Linked DNA regions of Anolis sagrei. The protein of the gene in region 2 purifies or fractionates together with the protein of the main gene of each other region. This does not show direct contact. Links are inferred from orthologs where the notes say so. Each region holds a gene or a part of one and is shown on either strand. Other genes may lie near its edges.

What was found.
Region 1: the proteins of EIF4A3 (region 2) and SAP18 fractionate together in Homo sapiens (co-fractionation; 3 studies listed by BioGRID and IntAct, with this or other methods). This does not show direct contact. The link is inferred for Anolis sagrei from reciprocal best matches to the Homo sapiens genes EIF4A3 and SAP18.
Region 3: the proteins of EIF4A3 (region 2) and SRSF3 purify together in Homo sapiens (affinity purification with mass spectrometry; 3 studies listed by BioGRID and IntAct, with this or other methods). This does not show direct contact. The link is inferred for Anolis sagrei from reciprocal best matches to the Homo sapiens genes EIF4A3 and SRSF3.
Region 4: the proteins of EIF4A3 (region 2) and NCBP1 purify together in Homo sapiens (co-immunoprecipitation; 3 studies listed by BioGRID and IntAct, with this or other methods). This does not show direct contact. The link is inferred for Anolis sagrei from reciprocal best matches to the Homo sapiens genes EIF4A3 and NCBP1.

Annotation. Positions count from the first base shown.
Region 1 is NC_090023.1:28,525,383-28,533,380, reverse strand, and holds the start of SAP18 (histone deacetylase complex subunit SAP18), read right to left. Parts: upstream 3,132-7,998; 5' UTR 2,879-3,131; coding exon 2,807-2,878; intron 1-2,806. UniProt on the Homo sapiens protein: Component of the SIN3-repressing complex. Enhances the ability of SIN3-HDAC1-mediated transcriptional repression. When tethered to the promoter, it can direct the formation of a repressive complex to core histone proteins.
Region 2 is NC_090021.1:21,907,301-21,915,003, reverse strand, and holds the start of EIF4A3 (eukaryotic initiation factor 4A-III), read right to left. Parts: upstream 3,001-7,703; 5' UTR 2,805-3,000; coding exon 2,639-2,804; intron 2,395-2,638; coding exon 2,322-2,394; intron 1-2,321. UniProt on the Homo sapiens protein: ATP-dependent RNA helicase. Involved in pre-mRNA splicing as component of the spliceosome. Core component of the splicing-dependent multiprotein exon junction complex (EJC) deposited at splice junctions on mRNAs.
Region 3 is NC_090024.1:187,254,187-187,261,577, reverse strand, and holds the start of SRSF3 (serine/arginine-rich splicing factor 3), read left to right. Parts: upstream 1-4,324; 5' UTR 4,325-4,509; intron 4,510-7,231; 5' UTR 7,232-7,233; coding exon 7,234-7,391. UniProt on the Homo sapiens protein: Splicing factor, which binds the consensus motif 5'-C[ACU][AU]C[ACU][AC]C-3' within pre-mRNA and promotes specific exons inclusion during alternative splicing.
Region 4 is NC_090022.1:150,976,382-150,983,539, forward strand, and holds the start of NCBP1 (nuclear cap-binding protein subunit 1), read right to left. Parts: upstream 3,208-7,158; 5' UTR 2,976-3,207; coding exon 2,942-2,975; intron 1-2,941. UniProt on the Homo sapiens protein: Component of the cap-binding complex (CBC), which binds cotranscriptionally to the 5'-cap of pre-mRNAs and is involved in various processes such as pre-mRNA splicing, translation regulation, nonsense-mediated mRNA decay, RNA-mediated gene silencing (RNAi) by microRNAs (miRNAs) and mRNA export.

The DNA.
Region 1 (7,998 bases), on a different chromosome or scaffold from region 2:
TCCCCCTATGAACCCTCTCGGAGATTGAGATTATCTTCTTTCAACTGGAATATATGCCAGTATGGACTCTGATAACCCAGTTCAAATACGATATCGTGGGATTTTCTGCCTTGATATTCTGGGATATAGGGCTGTGTGGAAGGGCCCTTGGAATCTTTTTATTATATTCTCTTTTTAAAAGAGGTCATTTATCATGGAAGATGCTAAATTCCTATAAAATTTTTCATAAGTGTTTATAGCGGTAAATTCTGCAGGAATAGATAACTTGTGGAGGTGTTCTTTCTCTTCCTTTCTGTTTCTCTCCCATTCATTTCTCTCTGGACCCTTCCAAACAAAATATTGAGGCAGAATAACCCACAATATCTGCTTTGAACTGGGTTACCTAAGGGCCCTTCCACACAACCCTATATCCCAGACTATCAAGGCAAAATATTCCACAATATCTGCTTTGAACTGGGTTATCTGAGTCCACTCTCAGACAATGTGGGTTTTTCTGCTTGATATTCTGAGATATAGGGTTGTGTGAAAGGGCCCCGAGTCCTCACTGCCATACAACCCAGTTCAAAGCAGACATTTTGGGATGTTCTGCCTTGATATTCTGGAATAGAGGGCTGTGTGGAAGATGCTAAATTCCTATAAAACTGGAATACATTTTTCAGAAGTGTTATAGCAGTAAATTCTGCAGGAATAGGTAACCTGTGGAGGTGTTTTTTCTCTTCCAGTTTCTCTGCCATTCGTTTCTCTCTGGCCCTTTCCACACAACCATATAACTCAGACTATTGAGGCAGAATAACCCAAAATATCTGCTTTGAACCGGGTTACCTAAGGGCCCTTCCATACAATCCTATATCCCAGAATATCTGCTTTGAACTGGGCTATCTGAGTCCACTCTCTGACAATGTGGGTTTTTCTCCTTGATATTCTGGGATATAGGGTTGTGTAAAAGGGCCCCGAGTCCTCACTGCTATATAACCCAGTCCAAAGCAGATATTCTGTGATTTTCTGCCTTGATATTCTGGGATATAGGGCTGTGTGGAAGGGCCCTTAGGATCCTTTTATTATATTCTCTTTTCAAAGGTCATTTATCATGGAAGATACTAAATTCTAATAAAACTGGAATACATTTTTCAGAAGTATTTATAGTTAGGTTGTTGTAGGTTTTTTTCAAGCTATATGGCCATGCTCTAGAAGCAGTCTCTCCTGACGTTTCGTCTGCATCTATGGCAAGCATCCTCAGAGGTAATGAGGTCTGTTGGAACTAGGAAAAAGGGTTTATATATCTGTGGAATGACCAGGGTGGGACAAAGAACTCTTGTCTGTTGGAGCTAGTTGTGAATGTTTCAACTGACCACCTTGATTAGCATAAAATGGCCTGACAGTGCCTGGAGCAAACTTTTGTTGAGGTGATATTTTTCTCACATATTTATACATGGCTATCATGTTTCCTCTCAGCCTTCTCTTCTGAAGGCCAAACTTGCCCAGCTCTTTAAGCCGCTCCTCATAGGGCTTGTTCTCCAGACCCTTGATCATTTTAGTCGCCCTCCTCTGGACACATTCCAGCTTGTCAATATCTCCCTTCAACTTTGGTGCCAAGAATTGGACACAGTGTGATTCCAGGTGTGGTCTGACCAATGCAGAATAGAGCATGGGTAGCATGACTTCCCTGGATCTGTTGTGAGGTTGTGAGGTCTCTGAGGATGCAGGCGAAACGTCAGGAGAGAATGTCTCTAGAGCATTTGTCCGAACGGATCTCCCTCTACATCCCACCTCGAAGTTTAAGATCTTCTGGGGAGGCCCTGCTCTCGACCCCGCCAGTCTCTCAAGCGAGGCTGACGGGGACGAGGAGCAGGGCCTTCTCAGTGGCGGCCCCCCGCCTGTGGAACTCACTCCCTGGGGAGATCAGATCGGCGACCTCCCTCCTAACATTTAGGAAAAAACTAAAGACCTGGATGTGGGACCAAGCTTTTGGTCACTCTGACAATTAAATCAAGGACCTGGGAATAGACAAGACAAACGGAATAGGACGGACTTATGGACTCTGATATATGGACCCTGACATGAGACTGTTTTAGGTTTTTACTATGTACTGATGTTTTAATTTAAGTGTTGAATTGTTATTTTTTGTATTACTTGTTATGTGTTCGGGCATCTAATTGTGCCCTCCCCTGTAAGCCGCCCTGAGTCCCCTCCGGGGTGAGAAGGGCGGGGTATAAGTGATTGAAATAAATAAATAAATAATAGAGCATGGCCATATAGCTCGAAAAAACCTACAACCCAGTGATTCCAGCCATGAAAGCCTTCAACAATACAGTGTTTATAGTGATCAATTCTGCAGGAACAGGTAACCTGTGGAGGTGTTCTTTCTTTTCCTTTCTGTTTCTCTCCCATTCGTTTCTCTCTGGGCCCTTCCACACAAAATACTGAGGCAGAATAACCCACAATATCTGCTTTGAACTGGGTTATCCAAGTTCAAAGATATCCAAGATAATGTGGGTTTGTTTTGCCTTGATATTCTGGGATATGGGGCCCTTGGGATATAGGGCCCTGAGTCTTCCCTGCCATATAACCCAGTTCAAAGCAGTTAATGTGCGATTTTATTCAGCTGTGTGGAAGGGGCCTCTTTCTCTGTATTCCTTACTATCTCCTTCAGTCTTTCTCTCATTGTATTGTCGAAGGCTTTCATGGCCGGAATCACTGGGTTGTTGTAGTTTTTTTCGGGCTATATGGCCATGTTCTAGAGGCATTTTGGCAAGCATCCTCAGAGGTAGTCTGTCCCTCCTCCCCTTTCTGGCTCTTTTCTCTTTACCTTCTCGCGGTCGATGGGCTTTTCAGGCTCTTTCTTGATCTCCTCCTGAGTAACGCGAGACTCCACCGCCATCTTGCCGCCGCCGCCGCCTCCTACTCCTAGGCCCAAGCCTTTTCTGAGAGGGAGACAAAGCCAAGGAAGCAAGGCCGAGAGCCCGAGTCCCTCAGAAAAGGAGCGGGGAAAGCACAGCCAGCCCAAGCCTCCTTCCCCGCCTCGTGGGGACCACCGTTTCCTTATAAAAGCCCGGAAAACCGCCACAAACCTCCTCTGGTGGCTTTACCGAGGCAAGATGGCGGCATCCAGGAAAGATTCGAGCGGCTTCACTTGAAACCGCGAGCTCTCGTGAGACTACCCCTGTTGTCTCGCGAGAGAGAAACTAGAGCGTGGGATATAGCTTGTTTAAGGAATCTAGAAAAGGGTCTTGTCTGTGGAAGGATTTGAACTCAGGACCAAGGATGATCCAATGGTCCAATCGCATTAAAGTCTTATCACCCACAATTAATGTGGCTGATAAGACTTTGGGGCTTGTAAACCATGCTCCACTCTATTATTATTATTATTATTATTATTATTATTATTATTATTGATTTGATACATAGCAAGATTAGTAGACAGCAAACAAGATCACTATGCTGGCTTTTGTATTTGATCACACGTGAGAATACTTCCCAAGTGTCTAGGATGTATCAGTGAATAATGCGCACAGATCCGCGTAGGGTGGCCTTTTGCAGCTAATAGTAATTTTGTCTGTGCTGATTGTTTTTAAGTGCAGGCCAAGGTCTTTAGGCACTGCACCCAGTGTACCATTCACCACTGGGACCACTTTGACTGGTTTGTGCCAGAGTCTTTGCAGTTCAATCTTTAAATTCTCATATCGTCTAAACCAGTGTTTCTCAACCTGGGGGTCGGGACCCCTGTGGGGGTCGTGAGGGGGTGTCAAAGGGGTCGCCAAAGACCACCAGAAAACATAGTATTTTCTGTATTGTCGAAGGCTTTCATGGCTGGAATCACTAGGTTCTTGTGGGTGTTTCGGGCTATATGGCCATGTTCTAGAGGCATTTTCTCCTGACGTTTCGCCTGCATCTATGGCAAGCATCCTCACTACCTCTGAGGATGCTTGCCATAGATGCAGGCGAAACGTCAGGAGAAAATGCCTCTAGAACATGGCCATATAGCCCGAAAAAACCCACAAGAACATAGTATTTTCTGTTGGTCATGGGGGTTGTGTGTGGAAAGTTTGGTCCAATTCTGTCATTGGTGGGGTTCAGAATGCTATTTCATTGTGGGTGAACTATAAATCCCAACAACTACAACTCCCAATTGGCAAGGTCTATTTTCTCCAAACTCTGCCAGTGTTCACATTTGGGCATATTGAGTATTTGTGCCAAGTTTGATCCAGATCCGTCATCGCTTGAGTCCACAGTCTGGATATAGGTGAACTACAACTCCAAAAACTCAAGGTCAATGTCCACCAGTCCTTCCCAATATTTTCTCTTGGTCATGGGAATTCTGTGTGCCATGTTTGATTCAATTCCATCATTGATGGAGTTCAGAAGGCTCTTTGATTTAAGGTGAACTATAAATCCCAGCAACTCCAGCGTTACCAAATGACAAAATGAATCACCCCCAACCCCACCAGTATTCAAATTTTGGGCGTATTGGGTATTTGTGCCAAATTTAATCCAGTGACTGAAAATACATCCTGCATATCAGATATTTACATTACAATTCATAACAGTAGCAAAATTACAGTTATGAAGTAGCAACGAAAATAACATTATGGTTGGAGGTCACCACAACATGAGGACCTGTACTAAGGAGTTGCGGCATTAGGAAGGTTGAGAAACACTGGTGTAAGCTTTTCCAGTTACTTCTCAATCCTGCTGTCACCTGGGATATTATTATTATTATATTTGGGATCTTCTTAATATAATAAGGAAAAGCAGACAATGCCATTCAAGAGCTGTGTCTTTGTGCATATAGATGGATTTTCTTGCTCTGCCAATTAAACCTGAACTAGCGAACCTGAACTGCTAGTTGGGGGATTCTGGGAGTTGTAGTTCAAGAAGAAACTTTCTCAAGCTCTGCACATTGAAACTGAACTGGAAAACCTGAACTGCTGGTTGGGAGTTTCTATGAATTGTAATTCAAAATGTATCTTTCTTAAACTTTCCCCATTGAACTTGAATTGGGGGGTGGAGGAAGTCATTAAACCAGCCAGAAAAAAAGATTACGCAGCTATTACTAGAGAGTTCAGATATGAACAAAATGACTATTCTGATGCAGAGCATTTAAAAATTGAGAGAGGATGTAATTTAATGCTGATGGGCAGAAAATTGATCTCTTGTGTACTTTTCAAAGCAGCTGTGTTGTCCTTTTGTTATGACAGTTTTACAGCTGTTTGACCCTCTTGTTTACTCTTCGGTCTGTACACCAACAGAGATTTTCCAGTCTCCCAGCATAAAGAAAAAGAAATCCACATTGTGCAACTGGGGTGGTCCAACTGCAGTGATGGGTGGGCTGTATACACGGTAAATATATTAACTAGACTTTTCGTGGCCTGCCGATCTGTTTGAAACAAAGAGGCATAAATGACCACCATCTTTTCACAGAGAAGGCATGACAAAACTGTGTTAAGTGGGATTGTGTGTGTGTTTGAGCTTTAAGCATGTAAGAACTTCAGAAGTGTCTTGCTGGATAAGATCTGGGTCTGTCTAGATTAGTGTGCCTTGCAAGAATCCCACCCAACAATACACAGATAGTATCCACCAGAAATCTGTGGCATGTGGGCCATAATCTACTTTCCGTTCTTTATTTGTTGTTTTTATTCCATTTTGGCTGAATTTAAACCAAACTTCCCCAGTTTTATCGGGCAGCGCTTGAGAAAGTTACTTTTTGAACTACAATTCCCAGAATCCCCCAACCAGCATTTTAGCCTCTCCAGTTCAAGTTGAATGGGCAGTGCTTGAGAAACTACAACTCCCAGAATTCCCCAAACCATCAGTTTCGCTTCCTCAGTTCAAGTTGAATGGGCAGTGCTTGAGAAACTACAACTCCTAGAATCCCCCAACCAGCAGTTTAGCTTTCCTTGTTCAAGTTGAACGGGCAGTGCTTGAGAAACTACAATTTCCAGAACCCACCAACTAGCAGTTCAGGTACCCCGATTTAAGTAGAATGGACAAAACACGAGAAAGCTATTTTTTGTACTATGCCTCCTAGAATCCCTCAACCAGCAATTCAAGTTTCCCATCTCAATTTGAATGGGCAGAGGTTAAGAAAGTTTCTTTTTGAACTACAAATAAAGAATCCCTCAACCAGCAGTTCATGTTCTCCAGTTTAATGGGTGGCTCTTGAGAAAGTTCCTTTTTAAACTACAGATTCCAGAACATACCCACCCAACCAGTGGTTCAGGTTCCCCAGTTCAAGTTTAATGAGGAGAGCTGGAAAAATTACTTCTTGAACTGCAACTCCCAACATCCCACAACTAGCAGTTCACATTTAATGGGTAGAGCTTGGGAAAGTTAATTTTGAACGCCCAGAATCCCTCAAGCAGCATATTTCATGATCTGGTTATATATAAGGTGGAGTTGGCACGCAAGAGAAAGGACAAAGATAAAGGTTCAGCCTTTACGGTAATTCACAGCTTCATACGTTTATGGAGCTCTGAACAACTATTTGAGCCAGCTTACTATGTTTTAAAACTATAATTAAACAGTCTGCAAAATATATGGTACCATCCCTGTTCAGCGTTTTACAAGAAGTTTAATCTTTTGTGAAGCTAATATTGCTGGTTTTGGATCACTCACAAAACTAATTGTCAAAAATGTGTCTGAACCTGTGATGTCAGTGGCTAAACACCTTTCCTTGGGAAACAGGTAATTTTGAACCAGAATTAGACAGTCCTAGTTGTCATTGCTTGCTAGGATGCAAAAACTAACTGTGATTTGGTTTGTGTAAACATCATTTTATTATTGGATTGATTGATTGATTGATGTATCACTTTTCGCCCTGCATGGGATCCTGGGCAATATACAACATTAAAAAAAACACATAATAACTAGTAAACAGTCAATAAACACTGGGTTGCTGAGAGTTTTCCAGGCTGTATGGCCATGTTCCAGAAGCATTCTCTCCTGGTGTTTCGCCTGCATTTATGGCAGGCATTCTCAGAGGTTATGAGGTCTGTTGGAAACTAAGCAAGTGAGGTTTATATATCTGTGGAATGGGAGGGTGGGAGAAAAGTAACACTAAACAAGGGAATTCCAAACAGGAAACAATCAGGGCCAGCTAACACCTCCCAACAAAGAATTCCCCCAGGCATGAAGCAGCCGGGCTTTGAAGCTGCAAGGCCATTCAGTGCTAACACTGATGGAATCGTTCCAGGAGTTGAGTGTGATGTCTATAGACAGTCCACATTTTGCAGACATATAACAGGGTTGGGAGGACAATAACTTTATAAAGAAGCACCTTGGTCGCCCTATGGATGCCCTGATCCTCAAACACACTCTGCTTCAGAAAAAATGTAGCACTCACAGAGCTCAAGAGGTGCTGTATTTCAGTGTCAATGTTGATTTTTGTGAAGAGGTGGCTGCCAAGGTAGTGAAAAAGGTCAACATTTTCTAATGTTAGTTGTATTTCTGGCATTGCAGAGGGATTGGCTGGTGACTGTTCAATGACAAGCCAAGCTTCTGCAAAAGGTGTTTAGAGTGGCTTGTAGGTCTTCTGAATGTGCACAGACTATGTTATCATCACCATATTGGAGCTCTATAACAGATGATGTTGTGACCTTGATTTTGGATTTCATAGGGCTTGACAAGTCATAGCCATCCTAGAGGAATGTATAATTGATTATCCGAAATACCCTGAGGTGTAGCTAGGTGGCACTCAAGTATATTTTCAGGGTCAAAATCAAACTGTAAACTACTTTCGTGACTAGGTTCAATATTAAAGTTTTTAAAAAATTGCTGCTGCCATTTATTTTCTGAAATGAATAACAGCATGAGGAATATTTTGCCAGATCATATTGAACTACAGCTCCCATTATCTTTCTCCAATTTTGGCCAGTACTGAAGGGAGTTAAGAAACAGCCACACATATTTATTTATTTATTTATTTACAGTATTTATATTCCGCCCTTCTCACCCCGCAGGGGACTCAGGGCGGATAACAATGTACATATACATGGCAAACAT
Region 2 (7,703 bases):
ATTGGTAGCTCATTATTCTGCATTAAAGATGGGGGACTAAGAGTATTTTCGTTCTAATTAATTCATGGCTAAAAATAACATTTTAACAGTGAACTTGGGGGGTTAATTTAGGCTTTTATAGTACAGTATTTATACGTCTTTTCAGAAGCAGCTCCCACTGAGCTCAATGAGATATATTCCTTTGTCATTATATTTATTTATTTACTGTATTTGTATACCACCCTTCTCAGCCCTCAGGCAACTCATATATATAGGATTACTTCCACAATCATGACATTGAAATAGTTCTCGAAACTGAAACTTCTACAAATAAAACCTATGTTTAACAATCAAATTTAAGTTATGGTCTACTTTGGAGAGTATAATAAAACTGTACAAGTTAATAATATACAAACACGTGGTATCATCCGCTGTGTCTCAAGCATCTGCAGTTGTACAATGTAGAATTAAAAGGTCTATGATTTTCCTCTGAACTCTTCGCAAACTAAGATACTGATGTCTAGCCTTCAAATACTTTCTAAAAAGAGACAGTACAGGTATAAATTAAGACACATCCTAACAACTGGCTGTTAGGAATTGCGGGAGTTGAAGTAAATCCAAAAAGAGACCCTGTACCTCTAAATCCCAGCAAATGTGGTCAACTGACTGCACAGAAATAATACAATTGTAATAATACAAAAAATAAACAGCAACCCAGGTAGGTCAAGGTGGTTATTTAAAATCTAAATAGCAAAAAGGCAGATAAGGTTTTAGAGTGGAATGGATCTACACTGTGGAATGAATGCAGTTTGATACCACTTTAACCCTCATAGTTCAAAGCTGATATTTGATTTGATCCCTCTGATTTTTAGTTCACGAAAAAGGCAGCTTTGTTGATATTGATTTAAATATTTACATTTAGCTTTGTTATTTGAACTAATTATGCCAATTACAAAAAAATCAACTAGAAATTCAAAAATCACAAGAAAAAAAATCTTGTCCTGCAGGTGAGGAGAAAAGGCTTAAGTTTTCGGTTCTTGTGTGAAAAGCAAGGGCATTCCTGCTGTGGAAAGAATATGCATTCTCATCAAGGATTATCAGTCTATACAAAGTGCTGACTTACTTGATTACCCATGGCTTTAATGGGGATACTGTAGCTGGAAATAGAACTATATTTCTTCATTTCTAAGACCTGCTTCTCCTCTTGTATAAACATCTCTAAAACTGTGGTGTTTCTTACAATGGTTGGGATTATATATTATATATATATATATATATATATATATATATAGTTGGGTGAAAATGGTGGTACTGAAATTAGTGTGCATCTTAGACTCAATGGTGTCATAGAATAAAAGGAATATTGCAAGTTAATTTAGATCTGTGGCTAAATGTGACTGTGATTTCATGTCATATAATAAAAGATTCAACATAAACAGATACAATGGTTGACAAGAAGATACATTCACTGTCACATTTTACACTAAACAAGGACCACTGAACTGAGGTGGATTTAATCTGACAAATTTGCTGTAGTCATTGGCATCAAAGGTGTAAAACACAACATCAAGAATCGTTTACTTTCTTATAGTCAATATGGCAATATTCCAAAGTGACCTCATTTTACTTCCATATACATTACTTGTCCATGGTGGTTCACATTCTCATTACATCCAAGATAGACTACTGCAACGCGCTCTACATGGGGTTGCCTTTGAACGCGATTCGGAAGCTTCAAACAGTCCAATGAGAGGCAGCCAGGTTAATAACTGGGGTGGCATACAGGGAGCACACAACTCCCATGTTACATCAGCTCCACTGGCTGCCCGTTTGCTACTGGGACAATTCAAAGTGCTGGCTTTAGCCTATAAAGCCCTAAATGGCCCTGGCCCAGTTTACCTGTCTGAACAGATCTCCCTTTATGAACCACTGCAGAAACTAAGATCTTCTGGGGAGGCCCTGCTCTTGGTCCCGCCACCACCAAAGGCATGTTTGGTAGGGACAAGAGTCAGGGCCTTCTCAGTGATTGCCCCCCAGTTATGGAACTCCCTTCCTGGCAATATTAGATCAGCCCCCTCCCTCCTGTCCTTTAGAAGGATTGTGAAGACTTGGCTGTGGGACCAAGCCTTTGGGGCAGTGAAATGAGGCAAAATGGTGTCCTGAGATGGTTTTTAAGCAACTTTTAATCTGAATATAAGTGACTTTAATGTTTGTATATATTTATGGTTTTATATCCCAGCATTGAATATTTGCCGTATATATGTTGTGCTCTGCTCTGAGTCCCCTGCGACGTGAGAAGGGCGGAATATAAATGTTTAAATAATTAAATAATCTGTACTTACTGTGCAATTACGTCTCTTCCTTTAATGATCTGTTTGATTGCTCTCTGCTGGATAGCTGAAGGTTTCTCAAAGCCTAGAAAAGCCATTTAAAATTCATTTAGCATCCCTTTCCACTTACAGATCAAACCCCAAAACATGAACATTTATGACATTTATATGCCGCCCTACTGTAATATAGCAATACTAATATATTAAATATAATAGTTACTACTGATAATATATAATAATATATAACGGTAGACTGTGTTATTGTTGTTATGTTTGTATAGATGGTTATAATGCGAGACAGAATGAGAATCTTGTCCCTCCCGGCTCACCGTAGGCGTAGATGCCTCGGAGGAGGTCCTCGCGCAGGCCCATGGTGTCGAAGGTGGGGGTGACGTCCACCTCTTCGCTGGTCTCGAACTCCACCTTCGTCATGTCTTCCTCCTTCAGCAGCCGCTTCCGAGCAGAGCCCGCCGTACCTCCCGTCGTCCCCGACATCCTTCCCGGCCGAGTCGTGCCTCCCGCCGCTTCCCTGCACGCGTTTCTCCCTCAGAGGCTCCGAAGGCCGCGCGTGAGAACGTGAGGAGATCCGCAACACCGCCGGCTAGGCCGCAACTGAACCGCGCATGCGCCCTCAGCTCTACTCCATGACGTAGATGGTGACGCACGACGTAAAACATACGTCCACCCAATGTTCGCTCCTTTCCAGAGAGTCCCAACAGACGCTAAAGAGACGAGAAGTTTACGCATGCGCTCCAACGCTCAGCCTCAAACAATCACTTACGCATGCGCTCTAACCCTTCCTCACCCTGTCTCAATGACGTCAGCAAACGTTCACTCCTCCCAATAGAGTCAGTAACGGGACTAGGCTTCACGCATGCGCGTTAATGCTTCTATCTGATTTAGCAACGCTCGCGCTTTGTAAAAAATAAAAGAGACACTTGCGCATGCGCATTAACGCTTTCTCAGTGACGCTCGCCCTAAAAGACGCTTAGCGACGTTCGCTTCCGCCCATAGAGATATAACTTATAGAGTCACAACAAGGAGGGATTCTTTTGTCTGGGACTTCATCTCCCAGAATTCCTGAGTGTTGGCCACGATGTGGGAGACTTCTGGGAGTTGAAGTCCGAAGTTTGCCCTTCCTCACCCTGTCTCCATGACGTCAGCAAACGTTCACTCCTCCCAATAGAGTCAGTAACGGGACTAGACTTCACGCATGCGCGTTAATGCTTCCATCTCTGATTTTGCAACGTTCGCGCTTTGTAAAGGTTATAGATACAGGAGACAGTTGCGCGTGCGCAGTAAAGCTTTCTCAGTGACTCTCGCCCTAAACATACGCTTACCGACGTTCGCTTCTGCCCATAGAGATATGTTTTTGATAAGAGTCACAACAAGCAGGGATTCTTTTGTCTGAGACTTCATCTCCCAGAATTCCTGGGTGTTGGCCACGATGTGAGAGCCTTCTGGGAGTTGAAGTCCGAAGTTTGCCTTTGCCTATCTCTGGGGCTGAGAGAGTGTGACTTGGATTTCTGTGGCTAAGCTAGGATTCGAACTCACATCTCCAGAGTCAGGGTGAGAACAAGCCCTATGAGGAGCGGCTTAAGGAGCTGGGCATGTTTAGCCTGAAGAAGAGAAGGCTGAGAGGAGATATGATAGCCATGTATAAATATGTGAGAGGAAGCCACAGGGAGGAGGGAACAAGCTTGTTTTCTGCTTCCTTGGAGAATAGGACGCGGAACAATGGCTTCAAACTACAAGAGAGGAGATTCCATCTGAACACGAGGAAGAATTTCCTGACTGTGAGAGCCGTTCAGCAGTGGAACTCTCTGCCCCAGAGTGTGGTGGAGGCTCCTTCTTTGGAAGCTTTTAAACAGAGGATGGATGGCCATCTGTCAGGGGTGATTTGAATGCAACATTCCTGCTTCTTGGCAGGGGGTTGGACTGGATGGCCCATGAGGTCTCTTCCAACTCTTGATTCTATGATTCTAGGGTCGAATCCTCAGATTATGAGAGCATGATCAGTGCTGTCCATCTACAACAGGCATGGGAGTTGTTTTGAACTTCAACTCCCACAGTTCCTAACAACCTCAGGCCCTTTCCTTTCCTTATGCCCAGTGTGGAACACATCCCATCACGTTAAAACAGTGGATGTGGCTCTTAAGGACACATGCCGCATTATCACAGGATGTCTACGCCCTACACCACTGGAGAAATTATACTGTTTAGAAGGGACAGAGAGTTTCATCTATGCTGACGATCATGCCATCACCACCCAAGCAGGGAGCTGTGAAATCGTTGAACAGAAGCTCTCCAAAGCTTTAGGTGGCCTTACTACCTATTACAGGGAAAACCAGCTGATTCCTAATCCATCTAAAATGCAGACATGTGCTTTTCACCTTAAGAACAGACAAGCATTTCGAGCTCTGAGGATTACCAGGGAAGGAATCCCACTGGAGCACTGCAGCACACCCAAATACCGGGATTGTGGCGCAGCTGGCTGAGTGTCAGCTGCATTAAAGATCACTCTGACCAAAAGGTCATGAGTTCGAAGCTAGCCCAGGTTGGAGTGGGTTTTCCAACCAATTGTGTGTAGCCTGTTGTCGACCTTTGCAACCCGAAAGACAGTTGTATCTGTCAAGTGGGAAAATTAGGTACCACATTAAAGTGTGGGGAGGCTAAATTAACTAATTTATGAGGCCATAAAGAAGACTCCAGCAAAGCATTCCAGCGGGGAAGCATGCGAGGAATGCGGAAGTACTTCATCAGTGTCGCAGATGGACAATGAAAGCGACAGCTCCCCTGGTGGCCAGAAAAAGTTAAATAGCCTCTGTGTATGTCTGTATATGTTTGTATGTCAAAAATTGGCAATGAATGTTTGCCATGTATGTGTACACTGTAATTCGCCCTGAGTCCCCTGCGGGGTGAGAAGGGCGGAATATAAAAGCTGTAAATAAATAAATAAATAATACCTGGGAGTCACTCTGGACCATTCTCTGACCTACAAGAAGCACTGCCTAGTTCCTGCTCATTCTATTGGTTCCCTTCTCTGCAATTGGTTATCTTACATGACATGGTCAGTGCAGTCAGGGAGGAGGGAGCAAGCTTGTTTTCTGCTTCCTTGGAGACTAGGACGCAGAACAATGGCTTCAAACTACAAGAAAGGAGATTCCATCTGAACATGAGGAAGAACTTCCTGACTGTGAGAGCCGTTCAGCAGTGGAACTCTCTGCCCCAGAGTGTGGTGGAGGCTCCTCCTTTGGAAGCTTTTAAACAGAGGCTGGATGGCCATCTGTCAGGGGTGCTTTGAATGCAGTATTCCTGCTTCTTGGCAGGGGGTTGGACTGGATGGCCCATGAGGTCTCTTCCAACTCTAGGATTCTATGATTCTATTTCTGAGCCTTTGTTGTTGTTGTTGTTGTTGTGGTTGTTGCTTTCCCCCTATTTTCCCAGCCTTGAAGTAAGATGCAAAGCACCTGATGGTGGGTATATTTACACTATAGAAAGAATACAGTTTGATACCATTTCAACTGCCCTGGCTCAATGCTATGGGATTGTGGGAATTGTAGTTTCACAAGGTCTCCAGCCTCCTCTGGCCAAGAGTGCTGGTGCCTTGCCAAACTACAGCTCCCATGATCCCATAGCCTTGAGCCAATGCAGGTCAAGAGGTGCCAAGCTGCATGCATTAATCCCACAGTGCAGCTGCAGCCAGGGACTCAAGAGGAAGAAGCAACAGCAGCCAATGCCAGGAGGAGGAGGAGGAAGGGAGGCAGGCAGGAGGAGGAGGGTGGTCTGAGGACGGGGGGCGGCCTGCTTAGCCCGGTCCAGCCCCGGGGAGGGGCCTCCACCCCTGGAGGGAGAAGCCCCGGCAAAGCACGCCGCTTTGGGCTTCGGAGGGACACAAAGGAGGCGGAGGAGAGCCTCTGGAGCAAGGCTTGGCTTCCCTTTCCCTGGAGATGCTGCTCCTGCTGCTGCAGTTTCTGCTCTGAGAGTCAAAGCAACAAGTGGGAGGAGGGCAGAGGTGAGTGCTGTGCTGGCTTTTGGGGTTCAGGGTTGCTCCTATGCAGGATATCTTGAAGATATCTCACTTCCACCTTGAGTATTGCGCTTGCTTTAGGGGTTCAGGGTTGCTCCTATTCAGGTAACCTATAGGACAGCCCACCTATAGGATATAATATAGAATGTCCCATTTTTACAAGAATATTGTGCTTGCTTTAGGGGTTCAGGGTTACTCCTATGCAGAATATCTTGAAGGTATCTCACTTCCACCTTGAGTATTGTACTTGCTTTGGGGGTTCAGGGTTGCTCCCATCCAGGTACCCTATAGGACAGCCCACCTATAGGATATAATATAGAATGTCCCATTTTTACAAGAATATTGTGCTTGCTTTAGGGGTTCAAGGTTACTCCTATGCAGGATATCTTGAAGATATCTCACTTTTATGTTGAGTATTGTATTGCTTTAGGGGTTCAGGGTTGCTCCTATTCAGGGGCCCTATAGGACACCTACCTATAGGATTTAGTATATAATATCCACCTTTAAAGGAATACTGTTCTTGTTTTAGGGGTCCAGGGTTACTCCTATGCAGGTGCCCTAAAGGACAGCCCACCTATATGATATAATATAGAATATCCTACTTTTACAAGAATACTGTGCTTGCTTTAGGGGTTCAGGCTTGCATCTATGCAGGGTCCTATAGGACAAACCACCTATAGGATATAGTATAAAATATCCCACCTTTACAAGAGTACTGTACTTGCTTTAGGAGTTCAGGTTGCTCCTATGCAGGATATTTTTAAGATGTCTCACTTCCACATTGAGTATTGTACTTACTTTAGGGGTTCAGGGTTGCTCCTATGCAGGGACTCTATAGGGCAGACCACCTATAGTATAGAATATCCCACCTTTACAAGAACATTGTGCTTGCTTTAGGGGTTCAGGGTTGCTCCTATGTAGGGGACCCTATAGGACAGACCACCTATAGTATAGAATATCCCACCTTTACAATAATACTGTGCTTACTTTAGGGGTCCAGGGTTGCTCCTATGCAGGGACCCTATAGAACGGCCCACATATAGGCTATTTTATAGAATATCCCACCATTACATAGGCTATTTTATAGAATATCCCACCATTACAAGAATACTGTGTTTGCTTTGGGGGTTCAGGGTTGCCCCACTGCAGAGACCTTATAGGACAGGCCACCTATAGGATATTTTATAGAATATCCCATCTTTACAAGAATACAGTGCTTGTTTTAGGGATCCAGAGTTGCTCCTATCCAGGGGCCCTATAGGACAGACCACCGATAGTATACAGTATAGAATATCCTACCTTTACAAGAATTCTGTTCTTGCTTTATGGGTCCAGGGTTGCTCCTATGCAAGGGCCATATAGGA
Region 3 (7,391 bases), on a different chromosome or scaffold from region 2:
ATGCAAAAACTGGCAATTTAGTGAAGTACTATGAGGAACCTACATCTTTAAGTTGCTAAAAGTACATTATGTGATTGGATCCTTTTTAAAAGTCTGAAAATTAATTTGAGATCTATAGTAGCAATTATAGAGAACAGTTTGAAATAAATTTGAATTCACATGACTCTGTCAGCATAGAAAACTATTTACATGCCATACTTCTGGCAGGCCAGTCAATTTTAAATTATAAATTGTAACTTTACATTTGGTTAGTATTGGTGTTTTAATTTTGTTCTCTCTCTCTCTCTCTCTCTCTCTTTCTAGTATTGTGTTTTATCTGTGTGTTTTAACCATGTTGTATTCCCATCTCAAGCCACAGATAAAAGAAAAAAATCATTTATATTTTTATGTCTTATTTGGATGAAAAGTGTGATAAATAATTAATAAATAAAAGAAAAATAAAGCACTAAGACTCAAATAACAATTGTAGCCCATCCATATATGGATTTACTGGAGAGAAGGATTTTAGAGGCAAAGAATAAGTACTTTGGCCAAATAATGAGAAGACAGGAAAACTTGGAGAAGACAGTGATGCTGGGGAAAATGGAAGGAAAAAGGAAGAGGGGCTGACCAAGGACAAGATGGATGAATGGTATCCTCAAAGTGACTGGCTTGCCTTTGAAGAAGCTGGGGGTAGCCATGACCAACAGGGAGCTCTGGCATGGGCTGGTCAATGAGGTCACAAAGAGTCAGAAGCGATTGAACAAATAAACAACAACAACATGGATTCAACCTGCAATTTGCATTGGGTTGCTATAATTCATATTTGACTTTAACTTAACGGCTATCATATGCATGAGAGACCCCCAAAAGCCCCGCCCAGGAACTGCTCTGATGAGTTCTTGCCAAGTCAAGAGTATTCTCTTTCTTGATTGAATCAATCCACTTGCAGTCTTCCTCTTTCAAAGCACCACATTAGCACATTAGCAAAGTACCCTATTAACTGTATTTGCAACTGAGTCAGACTGAGAAGTTGTTTCCTTAGTATAGAGCTGTGGTTTCCAAATGTAAGTTGCAAGGTTTATTTCATGGTAGGTATATTCATTTGAGTTTTATATGTTTTTTTAAAGTATTTTAATGATGTTTAATCTGCTTTTAATTGTTTTTTGATATTAATGTAAATATTTTAAATAGTTTTGGAAGTTGCCTTGTGTCCCACTCCAGTTGAAAAGCATTATAAAATGCAGCAAGCAAATGAATCCAGATGTTTGTCTACCTCCTTGCTTAAGTGTCAATTATTTTTTCTGCTTACCAGAGCCTTCAAAGCAGTGTACAATGAAATGATAATTTAGAAACAGAAGCATCACATTCAACATGCACACACAGAGAGACTAAGCACAATAGTAAGAGCCCAAGATGTTACATAGTGCATGTAAGAAATTTAACAAAAATGGACGTAGCCTGACTTCATTTGGGAGAAAGTTCTACCAATGCAATAGCGACCAACAAAAAGCCTGGCCTTGTATTTCTTACCAACCTAATATCCAGTGTTTAGATAATTCCATCAGGTGCTGGTCTGTGGTGCATTTCCAGGGGACTATGTTATAACAATAGGGCAAATATATACCAGCGACACACTGAAAGAGTGCCAGCCTGCCATATCACATAGCTTCAAAAGTGCTGAATTAGGCATCATCACAACCATGGATGGCAATAGTTTAAAGAGCACATAGAATGATAATTGAAGCAAGTTCATTCCTGCCTTTTCTAGCTTAATAGAAACTAGAGGTGTGCCTATACTGTAGAATTAATGCTGTTTGACACCACTAATGGTCATGGCTCAGTGCTATGAATTTATGGGAGTTGTAGTTTGGTGAGGCACCAGCATTCTTTGGCTGAGAAGGCTAAAAACCTTGCAAGACCATATGCCCAATTCCATAGCATTATGCCACTAAAGTACAGCTTCCTGCAAAACAATTAACTTCAAAACAGAGACTTGCCTACTGAAAAATAAGAATGAAACAAAAGGCAAGTGTGGGAAAGTGGGGCCTTCCCAAAGTGAGAAAGGATACTATTTATTATTTATGTATTTTTTCATATATTTGTATCCCGCTCGTTGTTCATTCGTTCAGTCGTCTCCGACTCTTCGTGACCTCATGGACCAGCCTACGCCAGAGCTCCCTGTCGGCCGTTACCACCCCCAGCTCCCTCAAGGTCAGTCCAGTCACTTCAAGGATGCCATCCATCCATCTTGCCCTTGGTCGGCCCCTCTTCCTTTTGGCTTCCACTTTCCCCAGCATAATTGTCTTCTCTAGGCTTTCCTGTCTCCTCATGATGTGTATCCCGCTCTTCTCACCTTAAAAGGGGACTCGGAGCATCCTTACAGCAGGCAGCTATTTGATGCCAATACATACGAATATAAAAATAAATAAATACAATTAAAACCATACAATTAAACATTAATTATTAAAACATCAATTAAAATCCAGTAATCAAGATTGTAGTCCAAGGATTGTCCAGTTGTCAATTCCATTAGTCCGTTATCTTTATTATACTATTTACTGGTTGAATGCTTGGTCCCACTGCCACATCTTGAGCTGACCTGATTTCATTGAGTTCACAGATGAGGAGCCATCACTGAGATGGCCCTGTCGCTCATCCCTACCAATCGAGCTTGTGAAGGTGGTGGGATCAAGAGCAGGGCCTCCCCAGATGATCTTAACTTCCAAGGTGTTTGGACAGATATGCTGGGCTGGAACTGTTTAGCTTTATAAGCTAGCCAAAGCCAGCACTTTGAATTGTGCTTGTTAGCAGACTGGCAGCCAGTGGAGCTGGCATAACAGGGGGGTTGTGTGCTTCCTGAACGCTCCTCCAGTTAGAAACCTGGCTGCCAACCTTTGGACTAATTGAAGCTTCCCAACAGTTTTCAAAGGCAACTCCACATAGAGCATGTTGCAGTAATATATTCAGTATGTAACAAGAGCATGGACCACCGTGGCCAAGCCTGACTTCCCAAGGTATGGGCGCAACTGATGCACAAGTTTTGATTGTGCAAAAGCTCCCATGGTTACTAATGGTTATTTAGTCAAGCCGTCGTGCAGAAATCCATTTAGCTGTCTAATGTTTTCAAATCTCCAGTGAAGATACTGTATTGTGTCCTGCCCATAAATCATAATCTAACCCAGGGTTCCTCAAACTAAGGCCCAGGGCAGGATACGGTCCTCCAAGGTTATTTACCCGGCCCTCGCTCAGGGTCAACCTAAGTCTCAAACTACTTGAAAACACAGAACAATAACAACAACAATCCTATCTCATCAGCCAAAAGCAGGCCCACACTTCCCATTGAAATACTATTAAGTTTATATTTGTTAAAATTGTTCATCATTTTTAATTATTGTATTGTTTTTAATTATTTTTTGCACTACAAATAAGATATGTGCAGTGTGCATAGGAATTCATTCATTTTTTCCAAATTATAATCCGGCCCTCCAACAGTTTTGAGGGACTGTGACCTGGCCCTCTGTTTAAAAGGTTTGAGGACCCCTGATCTAACCAGTGGAAATAAGGGATGATGGGAAATGTAATCCCACAAGATCCTACATGTCCTTTATTCCTATTTAAAAGCACAGAAGCAGGTTCTAGCATATAGTTCACTGTGACTCCCGATAGCTGGATTCTAAATTTGTCTATTCAAAATTAAGCTCTACAGGATTTGAGTGGACACTCCCAAGGTGTAGCTACATTAGATTTAATTCAGTTTCCCACCATTTTGACTATTATGGCTCAATGCAGTGGAATCTAGGGATGCTTAGTTTGGTGAGGCACTAGCACTCTGGGACAGAGAAGGCTGAAGACCTTGTAAAACTACTACTTCCAGAATTCCATAGTATTGAGCTATAGCAGTTAAAGTGGAGTCGAAGTGCATTAGTTCTACAGTGTATCGGGTATGGGCAAACTTGGGCCCTCCGCTTAAGCGGCTGAGGGGGAAAAGGAAGGGACCCGAGGCTGTTAGGAATGATGGGAGTTGAAGTCCAAACCCCCTGGAGGGCCCAAGTTTGCCTATGCCTGGTGTAGATGCACCCTACATGGCGTGCCAGAGAAAGGCCTAAATCTGTCTCCCTCCCGCGCCTCTGTGTAGGCCTCGCCGAAGCCTCCCTTCACAGAGATTGCCATGGTAACCGCGCCCTTGCCTGCAGTCAGAGGCAGGAGAAAGGGGGAGGGGCTACCGCTCGTGTGGGCGGAGCTGGGTTTCGAAGATGTCGATCACTGAAGACACGGCTTCTCATTGGTGGGTAGGCTCTTCACGTGACTCTATGGGCAGGACGCATATAAATACAAGACCGTGGCGTTGCCGTCCGCCATTTTGTCCAGTACGAAAGAGTCGAGGGTGGTTAACAGCTCAGGCCTTGGCGGGAAAGAAGGCGAGGCCGAGCGCGCTTTAAGGGCCGAAGGACAAAGAGAAAGAGGCGACGAAGGCAGGAAAAGAAAAGGCAGCGTGAGAAGCCCTTGGCGCTCCTGGCCCGGCAGCCGGTGAGGGAGGGAGGGGCGCGGGCGGGGTGGCAGGCCTCGCGGCCCTGAGGGCGGACAAAGAGCCGCCGCCATTTTGTGGAGCAGAAGTAGTAACGCCAGGCCCCGGTCGGGGGGTGGGGCCCTGGGTGGGAGGGAAGGCTTGGCTCCTTCGGCACGGGGGGCTCTTTCTTACGCACCTACCATTAAAAAGAGAAGGTCGAAGAAATGGATGCCGAATTCTTCCTACTTGGGCGCCAAGCGGCGTTAATTACAAGCCGTTATTTTCCTCATCCGGCCAGCTGTAATTTCCCCACCGATGAGCAGCATTATTTTCGACAATCGACGCAGGGGATTTTCAAGTTGTTTTTTTTTGTGAAACATTTCAAATGCAGAAAAGTCACCCTATTTATTCATTTGCTGCATTTGGGCTTTCCGAACTCACATTAGCGGCTTCAGGAAAGAGCATTTTATGGCCCTACCTACATTGCCATTGTTTGAAACTGCATTATATGGCCAGTGTAGGCTCGTTCGGTGCAGTTAAACAGCATTATGTGTAGATGGGCCTTTATCTGTAGGCTGACGAGTGTTTATAATGAACATCCTGCCTTAAAGTGGGGCCTCTGGCCCTGTCTTGTTTTGGACGTTAAGCAGGGTCACCCCTGTGGAGCCCCCGGTGGTGCAGTGGGTTAAACCCCTGTGCTGGCAGGACTGAGGACCGACAGGTCGCAGGTTCGAATCCGAGGAGAGGCGGATGAGCTCCCTCTATCAGCTCCAGCTCAACATACGGGGACATGAGAGAAGCCTCCCACGGGGATGATGAAAACATCAAGTCATCCGGGCATCCCCTGGGCAACGTCCTTCCAGACGGCCAATTCTCTCACACCAGGAGTCACTCCTGACACGACAAAAAAAAACAAACCCTGGTTAGCACTTGGTTGGGAGGCTTCCAATGAATACTAAGTGCTTTAAGACAGTGGTTCGCAACCTGTGGGTCCCCAGGTGTTTTGGCTTACAACTCCCAGAAATCCCAGCCAGTTTACCAGCAGTTAAGATTTCTGGGAGTTGAAGGCCAAAACATCTGGGGACCCACAGGTTAAGAATCACTGCTCGATCATAAAACATGGGGAAGGTTTATTAAACTGCAAAAACATCCTGTATTTCATACAGTAGGACCCTTCCCTTATTTTCAAAAGGCCATTCACTGCAAACTATATTTGTCCCTCTCTTTCCCCAGCAATATATGTGAGCACTGTAATATCAGAGTATCTGAGAATCTAGCTCAGTGGTTCTCAACCTGTGGGTCGCCAGGTGTTTTGGCTTACAACTCCCAGGAATCCCAGCCAGTTTACTAGCAGTTAAGATTTTTGGGAGTTGAAGGCCAAAACATCCGGGGACCCACATGTTGAGGACCACTGCTTTAAGGTATGTTTCAGAGAATGAATTGGCAAACCACCTCTTGAATGTATTGTCGAAGGCTTTCATGGCCGGAATCACTGGGTTGTAGGTTTTTTTTGGGCTATATATGTTCTAAAGGCATTCTCTCCTGACATTTCACCTGCATCTATGGCAAGCATCCTCAGAGGTAGTGAGACCTCACTACCTCTGAGGATGCTTGCCATAGATGCAGGCAAAACGTCAGGACAGAATAGCTCTAGAGCAGTGGTTCTCAACCTGTGGGTCGCCAGGTGTTTTGGCCTACAACTCCCAGAAATCCCAGCCAGTTTACCAACTGTTAGGTTTTCTGGGAGTTGAAGGCCAAAACATCTGAGGACCCACAGATTGAGAACCACTGCTCTAGAACATGGCCATATAGCCCCAAAAACCTACGACAACCCACCTCTTGAATATTCCTTCCCCCAGAAGAACAGTATGTAATCCATGGAGTTGCAACCTGGATGTGTCAGTGTGCATTTGATGGTTAGGTCCCTGTTCATGAATGCCCAGACCTAATTGAGGGATAGGTTGTACTCGGCACTTTACCCCCAGCGCTTGCCCTATATAGAAGAACTTTATTTTTCAACCCCGCCTCCATCTCCCCAAAGGGACTCGGGGTCCCAAGACAGAATACAATTAAAAACAAAGTAAAACAATTTAGACAACATAAAACAGCGAAAACAACATCCTCACTACTTCTGAGGATGCTTGCCATAGATGCAGGCGAAACGTCAGGAGAGAATGTCTCTAGAATATGGCCCTATAGCCCCTAAAAACTTACAACAACCCAGTGATTCCGACCATGAAGGCCTTTGACAATACGTAACAATAATAACTAGCAACAACTATAACAGCAGACTAACTTTGGAGGGGGGGGGGACTATAGTCTGCTTTTTGCACGAGCCCATGCCCAGCCCTCACTAATTCTGATTATTTCCACTGTATTTCTGGTCACTGATTGTCGAGGTTTACTTTCTATAAATTTCAATTAAGTTTTTATACCCTGCTATTTTTAATTGATTAATTGGGTTGTGATACGTTACTATGTTTATAATTATGTTTTAGTTGGTAAACCGTGTTGTCTCTGGGCTTGGTCCTGCATGTGAGTCGCCCTGAGTCCCTTTGAGGAGATGATGGCAGGGTATAAAAATAAAATAGTTATTGTTATAACATAACTTGAAGGCACATATTCTGAAATGAACAGTCAGATTTATTCATGCTACATTTCCCCACTGGAGTGAACATCACAGGATTTAGTATGTGCTAATAGTGGAAGCTTGACAACATTTTTTACTTGATCATGTTGTAGAGATGCATCGTGACTCGTGTCCGCTGGACTGCAAGGTTTACGTAGGTAACCTTGGGAACAATGGCAACAAAACGGAACTGGAACGGGCTTTTGGCTACTATGGACCTCTGCGAAGTGTATGGGTGGCTAGGAATCCCCCTGGCTTTGCTTTTGTTGAATT
Region 4 (7,158 bases), on a different chromosome or scaffold from region 2:
TGAAATTTGAAACCATTGTTCCACATCCTAGTCTCCAGGGCAGCAGAAAACAAGCTTGCTCCCTCCTCCCTGTGATTTCCCCTCACATATTTATACATGGCCCTCATTATGTCTTCTCTCAGCCTCTTCTTCTGTAGGCTAAACATGGCTAGATCTTTAAGCCACTCCTCATAGGGCGTGTTCTCCAGACCCTTGATCGTTTTAGTCACCCTCCTCTGAAAACATTCCAGCTTGTTAATATCTCCCTTCAATTGCAGTGCCCAGAATTGTCACAATACTCCAGGTGTGGTCTGAACAAGGCAGAATAGAGGGGTAGCATGACTTCCCTGGACCTAGACACTATACTCCTATTTATGCAGGCTAAGATCTCATTGGCTTTTTTAGCTGCCACATCACACTGTTGGCTCATGTTTAACTTATTGTTCACCAGGACTCCAAGATCTTTTTCATATGTACTGTTGTCGAGCCAGGTGTCCCCCATGTTGTATCTTTGCATTTCATTTTTTCTGCCTAAATGGAGTATCTTGCATATGTCCCTGTTGAACTTCATTTTGCTAGTTTTGGCCCATCTCTCTAACCTGTTCAGATCGTTTTGAATTCTGCTCCTGTCTTCTGGAGTAATGGCTAGCTATCCCTCCCAATTTGGTGTCACCTGCAAACGTCACGATCATGACTTCTGACCCTTCATCTAAGTCATTAATAAAGATGTTGAACAGGCCTGGGACCAGGACGGGATCTTGCTTATGGCATTCCTCTCGTCACTTCTTTCCAAGATGAAGAGGAAGCAGTGGAGAGAGCCTTCTCCTCTGTGGTTCCTCGACTCTGGAACTCATTGCCCAGTGAGCTTAGGCAAGCACCCACCTTAGCAACCTTCAAGAAGAATCTCAAAACCTGGCTTTTCCGTTGTGCTTTTGGAGAGTAACCATACAACTACACACTGTTGCTCCCACTCAATGTTTGTGCCTATAGCACACTTCCCCCTGTCTATTTGAAGGCCTGTTTTTACAACTTCTCCCTCACAAATAATCTGCTCCACTCCTATCTCATGCTGAGCTTTTAGTATTTTATCTGTAAATGTGGCCTGCTCATTGTCACTGTGATTGCGAATGATTTTTCATTGTATTTTATATTGTTTATTGTATTCTTATGTTTTATTAAGCTTATTGTGTTGTCTGTTATGTGCTTTGTTTTTATTTTATTGTAATGCACTGTTGGGCCTGGCCTCATGTAAGCCGCCCCAAATCCCCGTTGGGAAGATGGTGGCAGGGTATAAAAAAAGATTATTATTATTATTATTATTATTGGTGAGCACCCTCTGGATTCTTTCACCTAACCAATTACAGATCCACCTAACTGTAGTTTTGCCTAGCCCACATTTAACTAGTCTGTTTGCCAGAGGGTTATATTGGACCTTGTCGAAGGCCTTACTGAAATCCAGGTACGCTACACCAATAGTGTTCCCTGTGTCTATCCAGCTTTATTTATTTATTTATTTATTGCACTTCTACCCCGCCCTTCTCAACCCCCCGAGGGGGGACTCAGGGCGGCTTACAAAAGGCACAATTCGATGCCGGCACAACAAGGTAAAAATAAACATATGTAAACAGTAATTAAAACAGTCCATTATACATCACACATCAAAATCACACATTAAGATCGTCCGGGGAGGCCCTGCTCTGGTCCCGCCTGCGTCACAGGCACGGTTGGCGGGGACGAGGGACAGGGCCTTCTCGGTGGTGGCCCCTCGGCTATGGAATGCCCTACCTATAGACATCAGACAGGCTCCTTCGTTGCTGGCGTTTCGGAAGAAGGTTAAGACTTGGCTTTACGAGCAAGCGTTTGGCTAAACAGTGCAACTGAACACAGGAAGACGGTAAAATTGAACATAGAAATGGCACAAGGATTATGAGAATGGATTTTGCTCTGTTATCGAGGCGTCATGAATTGATAATAATTGTTGATTTTGTTGTTGTGTATGATGTGTTTTTAACTGTTTATTGTTGTGATAACCTGCATTGTGTAAACCGCATTGAGTCGCCTAATTAGGCTGAAAAACGCGGTATAGAAATAAAGCAAATAAATAAATAAATAAATCTATAAAACCAATCTAATGCTCAACGTTTGCCAACTCAGAGTTCATAAATTCAATTCCACACTGTCAAGTCCATCAGTTGTCGTCACTAGTCCTTTGTCTGCTGCCAGATTACCCAAAGGCCTGGTCCCAAATCCATGTTTTTAATTTCCTTCTAAATGAGGGGAGGGATGTTGGTGACCTAATTTCCCTGGGGAGCGAATTCCACAGGTGAGGAGCCACCACTGAGAAGGCCCTGCTCCTCGTCCCCACCAACCTCAGCTTGTAACTCTATTGAAAAAAGAGATCAGATTAGTCTGGCATGACGTGTTTTAGATAAATCTGTGTTGACTATTAGAAATAACTGCATTCCTTGCCAAGTGTTTACAAGTGCAGTATCTTGCTGTACTACTGCTACTACTACTACATGCTGGCATACGTTCTTGCACGCTTCTTGTTCACAACAACTCCAAGTCACTGTGAGAAGTACTGAGAGGTTGGACACAACTGAAGTTCCCATTTCCAAAACGCGTTTGAACTAATTTCTCGTGAAATAAACGGGTCAAAGGTCCTACAGGCCAGGCTTTTTCTTCAGAAAGATGCCCATGGAGAACGACAATACTGGCCCCCCAGACCAGACACACTTCCCAACCTTTGGTCTCCCAGGGGCTAAGTTGGGACTTCAACTCCCGGGATTCCTCTCGGTTGGCGAAGACGGCTGGGGCTTCTGGGAGTTGAAGTCCCCCCATACCTGAAAGGTTGGGAGCCCCTATCGAAGAAAGGCAGCTTCCTCAGGCCATGAGGGCCAGGCCTCCCTCTCTCCCACTCCCACCCCCTTCTCCTCCTTTCTCCTCCCTCGCTCCCGCTCACCGTCGTTATCGTCGCTGTGCCGCCTGCGCGACATGGTCCTTCTTCCTCAACGGCCGGGGAGAGAGAGAGAGGAGGGAAAGAGGCCGGCAGCCAGGCAGACAGACAGACAGACAGAGAAGAGGTCCAGGGCGCATGCGCAACTGACACTTCTCGCGCGCTCGCCGGAGGAGGAGGCCTTCGACGCTTCGAAAAAAAAACGCCCACTGAAAGCCGTGTGCGAGGAACTGCGCGCGCGCCTGCCTGCTCCCCTTCCGGCCCGCGCGCACGCTTCTTCCGGTCCCTTCTGGCCCCGCGCTGCTCTCTCCGGCTACGACAAGTGCGCATGCGTACAAAGGGAAGCTTTTCCGGAGCAAAAGAAAGGGGAAAAAAAAGAACAGAGGACGATCAAGGGATCGTCGACAAATTAATGCCCTCGTGTGGAAACGAATAGAACTTGTGGAAGGAGGGTGAAGGGAAAGAGATTTGGTGGGGCGCCAAGGCTTCTGAGTTTGTTTTGTTGTTGTTTATGGTTCTCAAACTGGCAACAACTGTTCTTTGGAAGTCAGCAGTGCGTTTCTTCATGGCAGTCACCACTACAATCCTTTTGATTCCCCCTGAAAGGAACCCAAATCCTGCAAAGAAGCTATTGAGACCTTTTTTGGGGAGGGAGGGTGGAGATGTGGAATATAAATATTAAATCGATGCATCTTTATTTATTTGTATACTTATTTCTAAAAATTGGGACCAAAAAACGCTCGTGCAAGAAAGTACGCCTTCCACGTGCAAGTACATCTTCCACGTGCAAGTACGCTTCCATGTGCAAATACGCCTTCCACGTACAAATACGTCTTCCATGTGCAAGTACGCCTTCCACGTACAAATACGTCTTTCATGTGCAAGTACGTCTTCCACGTGAAAGTATGCCTTCCATGTGCAAGTACGCCTTCCACGTACAAATACGTCTTTCATGTGCAAGTACGTCTTCCACGTGCAAGTACGCCTTCCATGTGCAAATACGCCTTCCACGTACAAATACATCTTCCACGTGCAAGTACGCCTTCCATGTGCAACTACATCTTTCATGTGCAAGTACACCTTCCCTTTGCAAGTACGCCTTCCACATATAAATACGCCTTTCATGTGCAAGTATGTCTTCCACGTGCAAGTACATCTTCCACGTGCAAGTATACGTTCCATGTGCAAGTATGTTTTCCACATGCAAGTAATCTTCCAGTGGTTCCCAACATGTGGTCCGTGGACCACCAGTGGTCCAGAAGAATGAAAATATGGTCCACAGCATCACCATTACTACACAGTTGCCTCGAAACCACACAGCAGTGTGGTCTTGCAAAACTGGTCTTGCAAAACCCTCTTATAGTGCTGAGGCAACTGAGCTGTCAGGAGGGGAGAGGCTGACTACCCGCAAAGCATTACCACTACCACATCAGCTCTATTAAATACGGTTTTCTGAAGCTGAGCTGATGGTGACTACTGGATAGCGTATGTTCTGTATCAGAAACGAGAGCTGATGAGGTCTAGCCAATGCAATTTTCTCTTATCAGCACTTCAAATAACCAAACCGAATCTAAAATTGAGCAAAAACTGATTCATAACCTCTTTGGTACTAATGTTGGAGAGTGGTCCCTGGTCAAAGTAGCCCCTGGCCAAAAAAAGGTTGGGAACCACTGATTTGAAAGAACAAATTTAAGAATATAATTTTTAAAAACTCTGAAAAAATTATTCTGACTTGGGTTATGAGGCCGACCCATATGTTATATAGGCTCGGAACTTTTAGGGGTGAGGCCCCCTTTGTCTCCTGGCAACCAATATTTTTAGACCCAACCCACCACTGCCTACACTAGAATGAGTACGGTTTGGCCTGGTGGTGCAATGGTTTAAACCCTTGTGCCTGCAGGACTGAGGACCGAAAGGTTGGCAGTTCAAATCTGGAGAGTAGGGTGAGCTCACGTCTGTCAGCCCCAGCTTCCCATGCGGGGACATGAGAAAAGCCTCCCACAGGATGGTAAAACTGGGCGTCCCAGGGGCAACGTCCTTGTAGACAGCCAATTCTCACACCAGAAGTTACTGTCCTTGCAGACGGCCAATTCTCTCACACCAGAAGTGACTTGCAGTTTCTCAAGTCACTCCTGACATGAAAAAAGGCACCACTTGAACTGCCTTAGCTCAATGCTATGCAGCATTGGGGAGTTGTAGTATGTACAAAGCAAAAGACATTGTACATCTACAGCTCCCTTGATTCCATAGCATTGAGCCAGAGCAGTTCAAGTGGGGTCAACCCGCACTCATTCTACAGTGTAGCCGAGGCACCCTTTTCGGTCCATTGGTTCTCTCTGAATTGCCAGCAGTCCCTCCAGGGAAGGCTTCCAGGGAGGAGCCTTGCAAGAGAGACAGAGAGCAAGACATGCTTTCTCTTTGCAGAGAGTGCCAGCACATTCAGCTGCCAGGCCAGGAAGAAGAGGAGGAGGAGGAGGAGGAGGAGGAGGGGAAGTCAGTGCTGGGGACAGAGGGTGGCTGCAGGCGGAGAAAGCCCATCCAGGTAAAAGGAAACAGAGCAGCAGCCAAAGAAAGGCTGCGTTTTGCAGGGACTGAGCCATGCCTGCCCTTTCTATCCCTTTGTGGGTCCTAGAAGAGGCCTGGCTCTGGGGGTGGGACACGGCTGCCGCCATGGGGCTGCTTGCTGCTTTTCCATCCCATCTGCCTTCTAGCAATGGCCCTCCCCTCCTAGTGTTCCTCCCCACAATGACCCTGCGAGGCAGGAGAGGCTGAAAGAGAGGCTGGTCAGCCAAGAGTGCCAAGGCCCGGGAAGCAATTCAGTTCCGCATGCCTACACCAGCTTCCTCTGCACTGTAGAAGCATCCTTTAACTGCCCTGGCTCAGTGCTGTGGAATCCATGGGGTTTGCAATTTTGCAAGGGCTACCACTTCCCTGCCAAAGAACTCTGGGGCCTTACCGCACCAGGACTGTGGCACAGCGGCGGGGAGTCAGCAGCATTAAGATCACTACTGACCGAAAGGTCATGAGTTCGAAGCCAGCTTGCTGTCAACCTTTGCAGCCCAAAAGACAATTGCATCTGTCAAGTAGGAAATTTAGATACTGCGTATGCGGGGGGGGGGGGGGGGGTAATTTAATAATTTACGACACCATAAAAATCTCCAGCAAGCCTGCAAAGAATGAGGAAACACTCCATCAGTGTCACAAATGGACAGTGAAGCGATAGCTCCCCTGGTGGCCAGAATACCCTCATCAAAAAAAAAGCTGGAATGTTAATAAATATAAGCTGACAGACAATCAGAGGCTAATTAACTTTCCAGCTTTCATGAGAGTATTCTGGCCACCAGGGGAGCTGTCGCTTCACCATCCATTTTTGACACTGATTGAGTACTTCCTAATTCTTTTTTGCTTACTTGCTGGAGATTTTATGGCATCGTAAATTAGTTAAATTAGCCTCCCCGCATAAGCGGTACTTAAATTTTGTACTTGACAGATGCAACTGTCTTTCTGGCTGCAAAGGTTGATAGCAAGCTACACAGAAGTCGGAAGCTTACTCCGATCTGGGCTGGCTTTGAACTCATGACCTTTTTACAGAGTAATGATTTTGAGTCTTTGTCTCTTGGTAGCTTTGTGATTGAGATGTGATTTTAAACAAGGCCGCTAAGAAAGTGTTATACTAACCATAGTGATGCAGGGCTGGATAAAATGTTAATGTGATTATGATTAATTCATATACTCTCCTAAATGAGATTTCCTCAGATGCATGCCCTGGTAATCACACTTGCAAATTATGTCTGTGTTTACTTTCTAATGACCAGTCACAAAATGAAACACACTACCTTCAAAGAAACACACTAACTTAAAACCTTGACATCTTTCCCAATGGGAGGAACACCTCTGCAAATCTATATAAATAAAAATGTAGTGTTTGTTTGTGGGATTAACATAACTCAAAAACCACTGGATGAATTGACCCCAGATTTGGACACAATACACGTATCAGACCAACAAGTGACAATCACTCATAAAACACTGAAAAACACAGCGGAAGGGCTTACAAAGCAAAAAAAAAAAAAAACAAAAAAAAACCAACAACCCCAAAAATACATTACAATGCATGTGCAAAATCACACACACATACACAAACACACATATACACAAATATATACACATATATACACAAAAATCACATATACACAGACTAGATCACAGCAAGCCGTGGCAGA